3 linked regions of the Mus musculus genome follow. The protein of the gene in region 2 purifies or fractionates together with the protein of the main gene of each other region. This does not show direct contact. Links are inferred from orthologs where the notes say so. Each region holds a gene or a part of one and is shown on either strand. Other genes may lie near its edges.

What was found.
Region 1: the proteins of Prkar2b (region 2) and Pde4dip purify together in Homo sapiens (affinity purification with mass spectrometry; 4 studies listed by BioGRID and IntAct, counting the BioPlex papers as one, with this or other methods). This does not show direct contact. The link is inferred for Mus musculus from reciprocal best matches to the Homo sapiens genes PRKAR2B and PDE4DIP.
Region 3: the proteins of Prkar2b (region 2) and Akap1 purify together in Homo sapiens (affinity purification with mass spectrometry; 3 studies listed by BioGRID and IntAct, counting the BioPlex papers as one, with this or other methods). This does not show direct contact. The link is inferred for Mus musculus from reciprocal best matches to the Homo sapiens genes PRKAR2B and AKAP1.

The regions. Positions count from the first base shown.
Region 1 is NC_000069.6:97,886,362-97,890,110, forward strand, and holds the start of Pde4dip (myomegalin), read right to left. Parts: upstream 2,347-3,749; 5' UTR 2,310-2,346; coding exon 2,128-2,309; intron 1-2,127. UniProt on the Homo sapiens protein: Functions as an anchor sequestering components of the cAMP-dependent pathway to Golgi and/or centrosomes.
Region 2 is NC_000078.6:31,963,720-31,967,368, reverse strand, and holds part of Prkar2b (cAMP-dependent protein kinase type II-beta regulatory subunit), read left to right. Parts: intron 1-54; coding exon 55-156; intron 157-2,179; coding exon 2,180-2,254; intron 2,255-3,405; coding exon 3,406-3,471; intron 3,472-3,649. UniProt on the Homo sapiens protein: Regulatory subunit of the cAMP-dependent protein kinases involved in cAMP signaling in cells. Type II regulatory chains mediate membrane association by binding to anchoring proteins, including the MAP2 kinase.
Region 3 is NC_000077.6:88,861,777-88,865,490, forward strand, and holds the start of Akap1 (A-kinase anchor protein 1, mitochondrial), read right to left. Parts: upstream 2,811-3,714; 5' UTR 2,621-2,810; intron 1-2,620.

The sequences.
Region 1 (3,749 bases), on a different chromosome or scaffold from region 2:
AGCTGAGACTCAGGAAACCATGACTCCCCCACCCACCTTTGACACAGTAGCATCCATTAGAACCTTTGACAAGGTAGCATCCATTAGAACCTTTGACACAGTAGCATCCATTAGAACCTTTGACACAGTAGCATCCATTAGAACCTTTGACACAGTAGCATCTATTAGACCTCTGCTCTTACAGCTGCTGTGGAAAGTCTGCTTCCAGCTCCTAGAATGTTTATATTTTGTTTTAGTTCTGTTTTTTTTTTGTTTTGTTTGTTTGTTTGTTTTTTCAGAGACAGAGTCTCTCTGTGAAATAACCCTGCTTGTCTTGGAACTTGCTCTATAGACCAGGCTAGCCTCAAACTCACAGAGATCTGCCTGCCTCTGCCTCCTGAGAGCCAGGCTTAAAGGCATGCACCACCACTGCGCAGCTTTGATTTGGCTTTTTATTGATTTTTATTTGAAATTACAGTTATTTGCTTTTTAGTTAACATAAACAATGATGGGATAATTAGGATTTCTTATTTAATTATTTACGGGATTTGGGGTTTTGTTTTTCGTTTTTGAGACATAATTTTGCCATGTGGCCCAGGCTGGCTCATTACATAGATATGGACAGCAGGGTGCAAGCCTATAATATCAGTTGAGGCAACTGAGGGGGCTGAGGCAGGAAGATCATGAATTTGAGGCTAGCCTGGGCTATGTAAGAAGATCATATTGCAACACCTTACTGCCATAATTTAGAGAAACATATGTTAGTTAGCCCTACGAAATGTCTATTGTCAATGACAGTGAGATAGGTCACCCTCTATGATGAGTGTTTCTTTCCAGATAAAAAGTTCCGCTACTATATAGAGAGCAGGGGAGAAGCTATGAAATTTTAGAAGCATGTGTATGTGAATATACAGATTTATTTTTGGTCAAAGTTCACTCACATTTTTAAAACATAATTACATTTGGGCTAAAGTTTCACTATATATGTATATGGATGTCTCTTGCTTCATCCTTTAATTCCAATAATTTATTATGCATTTCTTAATAGAAACATGATGATCCCTTTAACTACTGTATAATCGAATCTTTGACTACATTTTCTTGCATAAATAGGTGTAGTACAATGAATGAAAGCAATTATGTTTCTTTGAATAGACAGACTCTATTTTCTAGTTCACAGATCCAGCCGACTCCGGAGTATGCAATACAAACCCAGCAACCCTTCCACTCTGAGGTCAAAACTCTTCTAATCCAAACCCCGATCCCATTCATAGGAAACTGAGGCCTAGAAAAGTCCCAGTTAGTTAAAGGCAAAGTAAAGACTTGAACCCACCATTGCCTTTCGATTTGAATGATAAGTACTGGCATTCCACGGGGGGGGGGGGGGGGGGGGGGCAGGGAGGGGGGTACAGAGGGAGGAGCTAAAAATTCTATGTCAAAGACGTGCTTACTTTAAAAATGGCAGCCATACAATCTGTCTCTTCTTTTGGAAATATTAATATGACAGATTTTCATCTTGCTGTTGCTACATGACGAACACGGGACCTAATCTGCCGGGTGTTTTCTAGGCCAGAGTGGAGGAAGGGTCTGGGTTCAGGTGGAGCTAGCGGCCCAGAGCATCCAGCCAACAGGCCCAGGCCGGGCTCCAGTGCTTCAAAGGAAGAAAAGGGCATCACCAATCTCCCTGCTGTTTCCAGCTAAGGCAAATAAATAAATATCCAAGGAAGAAGAGACTAAAAAAGGCAAAGATGAGAGCTCTGCAAATCCCCTAACTAGCCCAGCTCCTGAGTCACCTTTCCTTTGGCTCAGCCCAGCAGGTGTTGCCTCCAGCCTCACCCACATCGGTACAGATCAAGCAAAGACCTTAGGATAGAAACCTGGATTCCCACCATTTCTCCTGTGCATCATCAGCTGCACCTCCCAGCTATGCTCAACCCTGTCCTGTCGATCCTATTCGCTCCTGGGCCCCCCATCTCTAGCGTGCTCGCCAAACCTTCCCCAGTAACCTCCCGTGACAGCATAGATCTCCTGCCAAGCCCCCCAGCCCTGTCTAGCGAACCGTGCACCAGCACCCCTGTACCACAGCACACCAGCACCCAAGCGCCGCAGCTTCCCCTGCTCCCGCGGCAGATGCTGGCCACGTCTTACCTCATCCAGGGTGCCGCCGAGGCTGCCTCCTCCTCCTCTGCCGCCACCGCCCAGCTCCCAGCCCGCTCTGGGGGTCTTCGTTCCCGGCTGGAGGGCTGCCGTGGAGACTGGCGAGGTGCGTGGTGAGCCCAGCACGGCGGCGGCGCGTGGTGGCAGATGGACCCGCTGTCCGTGCGCTTCATGGTTCCGAGGCCTGGGCACTGTGCCCTTGCTATGATCTCTGCGTGGTTTCTTTTGGTTTCACCGGCTGCCCAGGCGCATCCTCCCAGCGTGGAAGAGCATCCAACCCAGATGCTGCGGCTGTGGCTGAGACGCGGCCAGGTTCTGCCTCCCGCGAGGCTGTCTGCCAACTGCTCCGCCCAGGCGCTTTTGGTCCTTCTGCTACACACGTAGCTGCCCTGCATCCTCTAGCATCTCCGCTTCGTTCTCCATCTGTGACCTCAGCCTGGCACTATTGTCATTTCCAGACCTCACTACTGCCTTTTCGTTCTGTGCATTCCAATGTCACCTTCCCCAGTTTCTAAGCTTAAAGAAGTCCCTGACAGGAGAGATGGCTCAGCGGGTAAAGGCATGTGCTGCTAAACCCTATGTTCAATTCTGGGAACCACATGATAGAGTCTGACACCCTCAAGTTGTCCTCCGACCTTTACATGTTCGCTGTGGCACACACACACACACTCACACACTCACGCAGAGAGATAATAAATAGATAAACAAATAATGACTAAATAAACTGTGATGAGTTTTAAAAAGTTCCCCCTGTTCTCAAACCTCTAGATACTTTCCGGGTATGCTCTCTCCCTCCCTAAATTGGCCATCCTTTTATAATTAAACTGTCCCTTTGCTGACTCCTGAGAATTCTACTCCAGCTTGTTGGCTAGCATCTTCTTTGCCCCATCTTCTAGAACCTTGTTTTGTTTGTTTGTTTGTTTGTTTGTTTCAGCATTGTCTTTGGTTATTGGAGGTGGGGAGCACTGTCCTGAAAAGCTGTTACTTTTTTCCAAGTTGAGATTTTCTGATGGTCATTTTCTAAGAACGCTTAACAAACAAACAGTATCCACCATCAGACCAAGTGAGTGCTGTCATTTAAAAACAAACAAAACCACACACACACACACACACACACACACACACACACACACACACACACACACACACACAGAGGTGTGGTGGAGCAGACCTTTAATCCCCGCCCCTGAAGGAAGAGGCAAGTGGATCTCTGTGAGTTCCAGGACAGTCTAGGTTATAAAGCAAATTCCAGGTCGGCCAGGGCTGCATAATGAGACCATGTCTCAAAATGAAAAACGTTACCAAGACAAACTGGTTTATCCTTGTGATCTCAACTATTTGGGAGGCAGAGGCAGGAGGATCAGAAGTTCAAGGCTAGCCTATCTCAATACAAAATGAAATGGGACCAGGAGATAACCCATTGGTAAGCACTTATACCCTGTGTGCAAGGTCTGGGTTCTGTCCCCAGTACTTACAAACACACAACCGATAGGCTGACTAAATCCTCCCTAAGTGGCCATTCCAGCAGCCTGCTTCTTATACTCTACATCTCTCCCCCAAAGAACAGAGATGAGACAGTTTCCAGCAACGCTGACAGCTTCTCCCACACTGTC
Region 2 (3,649 bases):
AGGGATTCCTTGTTCCAACGGTAACTCCGTTTGTATTTGCTGTGCTCTCTTTAGGACAGGGTGACCTTCAGGAGAATAATTGTAAAAAACAATGCCAAAAAGAGGAAGATGTACGAGAGCTTTATCGAGTCCCTGCCGTTCCTCAAGTCTCTAGAGGTGAGCTGAGCTGTCACTCTGCTGTGCTGGCTGCTTTGCTAGGAAGCACTCGTGTCCTGAAAAGTTCTTGTGACCGTCTTGTGAGGCTAGCCATGCTGGGAACCTGAGTTTAATCCCCATATGAAGGTGGGAAATGTCTCCTGATCTCCACACAGAGTGTGTGTTATAGTACCCTAAGAAATAACGATAATGAAGGTGGTAATAACGATAACAAGAGTTTTAAAGTATATTATATTTTACTATGAAAAGAACAGATGGCGATATAAGATTTTTACTGCTATTTCTTTTACTACATGTAACAACATTTTATCCTGCTTTTTGGAAATAAGGCTCTTTTTTGGACTTTATAGCAAGTCTACAGGAGCTGTTTATCAGATAACAAGTGTAAGCAGGTCAGCATCCACTCGGTTTTCTCCCCACTAGCACTCATGTGTCGAAAATCATCTCTACCCTGTCTTCAGAATATCTTCAGCATCCAATCATTTTGTTAACTTCACCAGCCCCACCTTCTGTCCGTATCTTCATTGCCTCCTGTATGACTTTTATCAGCCACCTACAGAAGAATCCTTTTAAGTTCCAGATCAGGGCAGTCTTGCTAACAACCTTCCCAGGACAGGATAACTTTGAAGAAGGCCACCGAGGTCCCTTGTCTGTACCTCTCAGACAACTTTGCTAACTGCTGCACTTCCACCCTGCCATAGACATTAGCTTCCTGCTGTTGCATACGCATGCCAGCCCTCCCTTCAGATCTATGCATGTGCTGTCTGCCTAGGACAGCCTCCCCCACAACTCCATGGCTTCTCCATGAATCTCCTTCATTTCTTAGCTCAAATGCCTCCTCAGTGAGACCACCTGTTTCTTATCTTTGAAGGTTCATGAAAGAACCGTTACCTTACAAATTCGGCTCTGCCAAAATTCATTGTGAAAGTGCTTTTCTAGACATTTTATAATAGATAAAGCCTCATATTTGAACTCTCTTGAAAGCGATTATAGAGAACTAGGTACATGTTCCCATGGTGTCGTAAAATAGCAAATGTTGGCGTGGTCGTGTCTCTGTGAGTCGCCGGTTTATGCCTGGGAGAAACTTGGCCATGTTGTGGAATGCGCAGACAGCTGATCTTCTTTAGAAACTCCTGTCCTCAAATAGAATGTATCAGGGAGGTAATCCAGTCAGATAGAGCCATGTGACGTGACAGAAAGCAACCCAGGAAGGGACTTTGGCAAATCGGAGAACATGTGCTCCCTCTAAGGGAACAGCTGCCATTCCACCATAGCTTTACTGCTGCCATATGGAAATTTGGGCTGGGGGTTGGCTGAGTCTTCTGGTATTTTACAGGAAACTAGAAATACGATTTTGTCTACTTCAGGATTCTAGCAGTTAATGTAGCAACTACACAAGGGAAAACAGTTGGGTTTATTTAACTATGTAGGCCGTCCCTTGTAAACATGTAAACCAGGTAAGGCTACGTGATTGGTCGGTGTATTATCAGGCTTCCCCAGAGGAACAGAGTTTATATCATACATACATGCATGCCTGCCACTTATTAGAGTGGCTTATAGGCTGTGCTCCCACAAGTCCAACAAAGCCTGTCTCCTAATGGAAAGTGCAAGAATCCAATAGTCCACTAGGATGGGTATCTCAGCTGGTCTTGAGTATACTCTAGAATCCTGAAGAAGTAGGCTCTAATGCCAGGCTGGGAATGGACTTGCTAGTGTGAGAGAGTGAAGGCAAGCAGGCAGAGGGAGCAAGAGCTTCCTTCTTGCACGCCCTTTATTTAGGCTGCAGCAGAAGCTGTGGCCCGGGTGAAAGGTGGATCTTCCCAGCTCAAAAACTGGATTAAAGATGCATCCTTCCACCTTAAAAATCTGGATTAAAAACGGGTTTTCCCATTTCAAGTGACATAAGGGAAAATAATCCCTCCCAGGTGTTTCCAGCCTCTTGGGTTTTAGTTAATTCCAGATGTAGTTAAGCTATAACCAGAAATAGACACCACAGTCTCTAACACGGTGCTCTTCTTTGTAGGTTTCTGAACGCCTGAAGGTGGTGGATGTGATTGGCACCAAAGTTTACAATGATGGAGAGCAGATCATTGCTCAGGTACGGTACTGAGCTGCCATTCCTTTAGGCTTACATTCCAGAAGGTTCAACTTTGTTTTCATAATTGGTACGCAGTATTAGATTAAATGAATATTTCTTCCACCAGACAACTTATCAAAAATGCTTTTGCAGCTGGTAAGTAATCTGGATGTTTTTGTTTATATAATTTATTTCTAATGACTGTGCATTAAACCATTACCTAGCTGAGTAGTTTGCAGTTTGTAACATGAAATCCGCATGTATAGTGGGAGTAAGATGTCTTGTGTAAGAGGGAAAAGTGGGGGCTATTCCATGAAATTACCAAGAACCCAGGTCCACAGGCAGATGAGTTTTGCGTGATTAGCTCTTGAGATCTGCTTCCAGATAACACTCACCAGAAGGAGTTCACATTGTACCATGTGCAAGCACTGAATGCATTAATAAGAATCCCCTCTAACCCTCATGTTTTTCTGAACTCCCAGTGGGCGCCAGTTGTATTACAGTACCTGCTAGCCAGAGAGCTCGTAGAAAGTAGGCTGTATAGACAGTTGAAGGGTGCGCATGAATGAGTGGGTTTCTAACGAGAGTTCATGCAAAAACCAGGAATACTGGGGGTGTACGTAGAGAAGGCGCCTTTCGTTCCCAGCAGTCTTTTCAGAGCCGGAAGTACACTGTCATAGACTGACATGTCAGCTTGGTGCCTGAAGGCCGTAAAAGCTCATCTATTGCTTCCGAAAGCTCCCAGTTGCTTTTGCTCCTGGCAAGTCTCTGTGCTAGTGCTAGTTGCCTTGGGTGGACACAGTGCTACTTTCCTAGGATTGCGGAATGACTGACGTAGCCTGCTGGTGGGAGGGGCTGCTGGGACACACAGCAGGGAACACAGAATGACTGACATAGCCTGCTGGTGGGAGGGGCTCCTGGGACACACAGCATCTGCTATCCTTTCTTGTAAACTGCTCAGCACAAAATTTTGAGGTTACTTGCCATATTTTCTGGTAGAGAATGTATTATTTCGAATGCCTAAGAAGTTACTGTAGAATTATCGTAACCTCAGGATGTAGTCTGGTCTATGACTTCACTTTACGGACTGGAACCTGTAGGCTGGCTTCAAAGGCATGATTTCAGAGATGCTGTGGAACTTGAACATTCACCCTGCATTTTTGTTTTAATAGGGAGATTTGGCAGACTCTTTCTTCATTGTAGAATCTGGAGAAGTGAAAATTACTATGAAAAGAAAGGTAAACAGCCCCCAAATTCCTCATATCCACAAGGAAAATATGGATTTTTTTTTTTAAAAAAGAACGATCTCAGACTTCAATGTAACTGACTTGTTGGCTCCTTAGGGACACTATGCCCCTCCTTAGAATTGGGAACAAAACACCCATGGAAGGAGTTACAGAGACAAAGTTTGAAGCT
Region 3 (3,714 bases), on a different chromosome or scaffold from region 2:
TTATATCTAATCAAATGACTGAGTCAAACGGATTCCTTGGGAGTGAGGGATACCATACTTAAGTGCCTAGCATAGGCCAGGAATAGTCCCAAGTCTTTTTTTTATTATTACTCCATTTTTTATTAGATATTTTCTTTATTTACATTTCAAATGTCATCCCCTTTCCTAGTTTCCCCTCCGAAAATCCCCTATCCCCTCCCCCTCCCCCTGCTTCCCAACCCACCCACTTCCATTCCTGTCCTGGCATTCCCCTATATTGGGACATAGAGCCTTCCCAGGACCAAGGGCCTCTCCTCCCATTGATGACCGACTAGGCCATCCTCTGCTACAAATAGTCCCAAGTCTTAAATATGATGATCTCCATCCATGTTTAGGATGAGAAGAAGAAAACTGGAAGCTAAAACTACCTTCCACAAACTCTAGCTATGACCAGCCTGGGGCCCAGGTCCACATATAATCTGGGTTACCAGGTAGCAAGACAGATTGTTTTAAAGTATTGATGCTCAGACACATCACTTCCAGCATCTGAGCAGGCAACAGACAACTGATACCTGTATCTCTGCTGTCACCCAGCAGAGGCCAAGGGTGAATGCAATTCCTACAATTAGCTGGGAGATGGGAGAACTCCCCAAGTAGAGGCAAACTCACTAGATTTACATCAGGTCTCACCCACTGGGTTGGATAGCTACTGACCCACTCTACAGAACAAAGCCTTCTGATTTAACAACCTAACCAGAAGCTTTAATGATTTGCATACACCCTTAGGGTAGGAGAATGTCCTCTAACCCAAGGCCATTCTTTCTATTTCACAAGACTACACCCAGGAATTACCCAGAACCTACAAAACAGGTTAGAAGCGAAAGAAGGCTCGACAACAAGTCCAGAAAGCTCCCCAAACATAATCTCACTTGTTCCTTGGGCTCTAAAAGAGTCCTAAATAATCTGAAGGTGAAACACTTAAATGCCAATCAGAGAAGACTCTGGCAGGAGAGCAACTCGTTCACAGAGTTTATAGATGCTTTGTGCCTTTAAGAGAGGAATGGGTAGGAAGCCCGTAGACTCTAAGCCTCGCTTTTCTAAGCCTCGCTTTCTAAAGTTAAGCGTTTAAAACAAAACCAAAAACCCCACGGTTACTAATTTGGGAAGGACTCTGCAGTTAAATGAGCATGTAAGATTGATTTCCCGAAGCAATAGCAATTGTAATTGCAACACACGGATACAGAGGGTGGTAGCACACCAACCGAGATGGTTACATTAGGTCCAGCAACCCTGTTGTCACTGCAGGCGTTAAATTTAAACCCCAAGCAGCCTCGACTTCAATAGCGGAAAGATAGGCAGTTTAAACCTTACTAATTGCCCTACACATACACCCGACCTTACCGGTTTGAGAAGCCTCCACTCTCACCTGGAGCGAAGTCCACCGGGTTTGTGTTAACCACAGCCCAAGGGTGGAAAGGTACTAGTTGCTCGAGGCATTTCCCGGAGGGAAAAGGTCCGGTTAGGCACAGGGCGTCTCAGAGGTCCCTTCTGCACAGCCCCTGACTATCAGCACCTTCCCTCCCGGAGAAAGGAAACAGGAAAAGATAGGACACAGCAGTAGTTGACACCAGAATGTAGGCTCCTTTACGCGTATGGAGGCTTCTCTACGCAGGTTTTTACCTATAACCCTGGCAAAGTCCCCCCATGACCCCTGCAAAGTCCCTCCAGATCACTGTCCTGGGACGGAAAGAAAGGTGGGGCGCGACACGTGACCCTGGACCTCCCCACCCCCGCAAGAAGTCAGCGGGCACCTCTAGCTAGAGGTCTCCCACCTCTTAGGACATGCTTATGGGGCCACAAACTCTAATTCCCTTCGGACACCCAAGCTCACGACCTCCGGATCCTAATTGGTCTTATGGTCTCTCCACCGCCAAAAGGTTTGGGACCTGTCTTGCATCCCATTCTCCCCGCTACAACGGCAGAGTCCGCTCCAATAATTCGCGGCACTGAACTCCAGGAATTGTGTCTTCCTGCTCCGGTTTGCCACCACTGCCGGGCCAACCCAGAGTCAACTGGGCCCAGCAGTTAGAAAGTTAGGAAGGGAAGGGGTCCCCAAGGACCTCCTCTCCCGCCTTGGGCACTGGGTCCTTGGCAGAGACCGCCCCAGTGCCTCCTCTCCACGCGTAAACTGGGTACACACGACCTTTGAAAAGTAAACGCTAGCGAGACTAGACGACCTTGGTTGGGACGCGCTCGGGCAGGCTACCCAGAAGGGTGAGCCAGCATTGGGAAAGTTGAGGCGCACCGGAGCGCCCGGGGAATTGCGCCCTCACCTCCATCCTAGAGGCCAGTGACGTGAGGGGGGATGGGAGGGGAAAGCAGCGGCTTAAAGCAGCGCCCCGAGCTCAGCGCACGCGATCTGTCAGCAGCAGCCCTGGGACCGGGAAAGACCAGCGGGGCGCGCGGGTCATCAAGGCACAGACCCGCCCGCTTGACAGCAGGCGCGGTGCACAAGGCTCTCGGTCCCCGGAGTACCTGGCGCGCGCGTCGCACCCTGCACCTGCACCCCAGGCTCCCCATCACCCCAACTCGTTCTCTCTCCGGGCCCGGCGGGCGGGTGCCCGTGCCAGCCGTCACTTACCTGCTCCTGGGCGACCGTCTAGGCACTCAATCCTCCCGCCACCGCCCCCTGGCCCCCCACCTAGTCCAGCGGCCCTGCCCCGCAGCGCTGCACGGCGCTTCGGCCGCTCCCCCACGTGCTAGCCCAGGCCGGGCGAACACAGAGACATTAAATACTGAGGACGCGCAACGACGTGCCCGCGGCGCGACGCAAGGCCCCGCCCCTCGCCCTCGGCTCCCTGGCGTGCCCCCCTCGCCCGCTCGCTCTCCTGCGCGTGCGCGCCATCGGCCGCTCCCTCCCCCGACTTGCGCGCGCCTCTCTCCCAGCTGCGCCAAGAGGGGCGCGGTCAGGAGCTCTCCGCTGACATCCCGGAGCTGTACGGGCCCGCCTTGCTGGCGCTCTCGCGAGAGTAACAATATTCACGGCGGGCATGGGAGATGGCCCCTACGTCCCACACTCGGGCTGGGGTGGGTTCCTGGTGTCTGAGTGCTCGGCACAATGAACTTGGCTCGCACGGGGTCTCTGCTTCTTCTCCGGGGAGAGGTGTCAGGCAGGTTCCTGCCTTGGGATGGTGCCTCTCCTGGAAAAGGTTGCTGAGGCTGGTGAGGGACGATGCTACATTGTTCCCCTTGCCTAGGAATCTGGCTTTCCCGTAACCTTGCGAGCATAGCATAGCTTTTCGAGTATAATAGGTGGCCATTGGTTGATCAGTAATGTGGATACTGTGTAGCCCTCAAGGGCAAGTTGATTTCTCATTTTCGCAACTTTAGTGATGTCGAAGGGGCTTTTCTCTAAATGATCTGGGGTTTTGCAAAGTTTGCCTTCGAAGAAATGGTCACCATGAGTCACTGCCTCCCCCAACGACTTGAGAAAACCAAACTACCTGCAGATAATTGTATCCGACGGAGGTTCCACTTGCCAACCAGCCCAGCTCTGATCCTTAAAACCTAGGCACTTTCCTTTACTTGCTTATTTATTTTGATATTCTGAGACTGTGTCTCATGTCTCACGGCCTCAAGCTGGGAAGTTCTAGGTTGACCTTGAACTCCTGATCCTCCTGCCTCCACCTCCCTAAGTGTTGGCATTACAGGGCACTTTCAGTGCACATTTTTTGA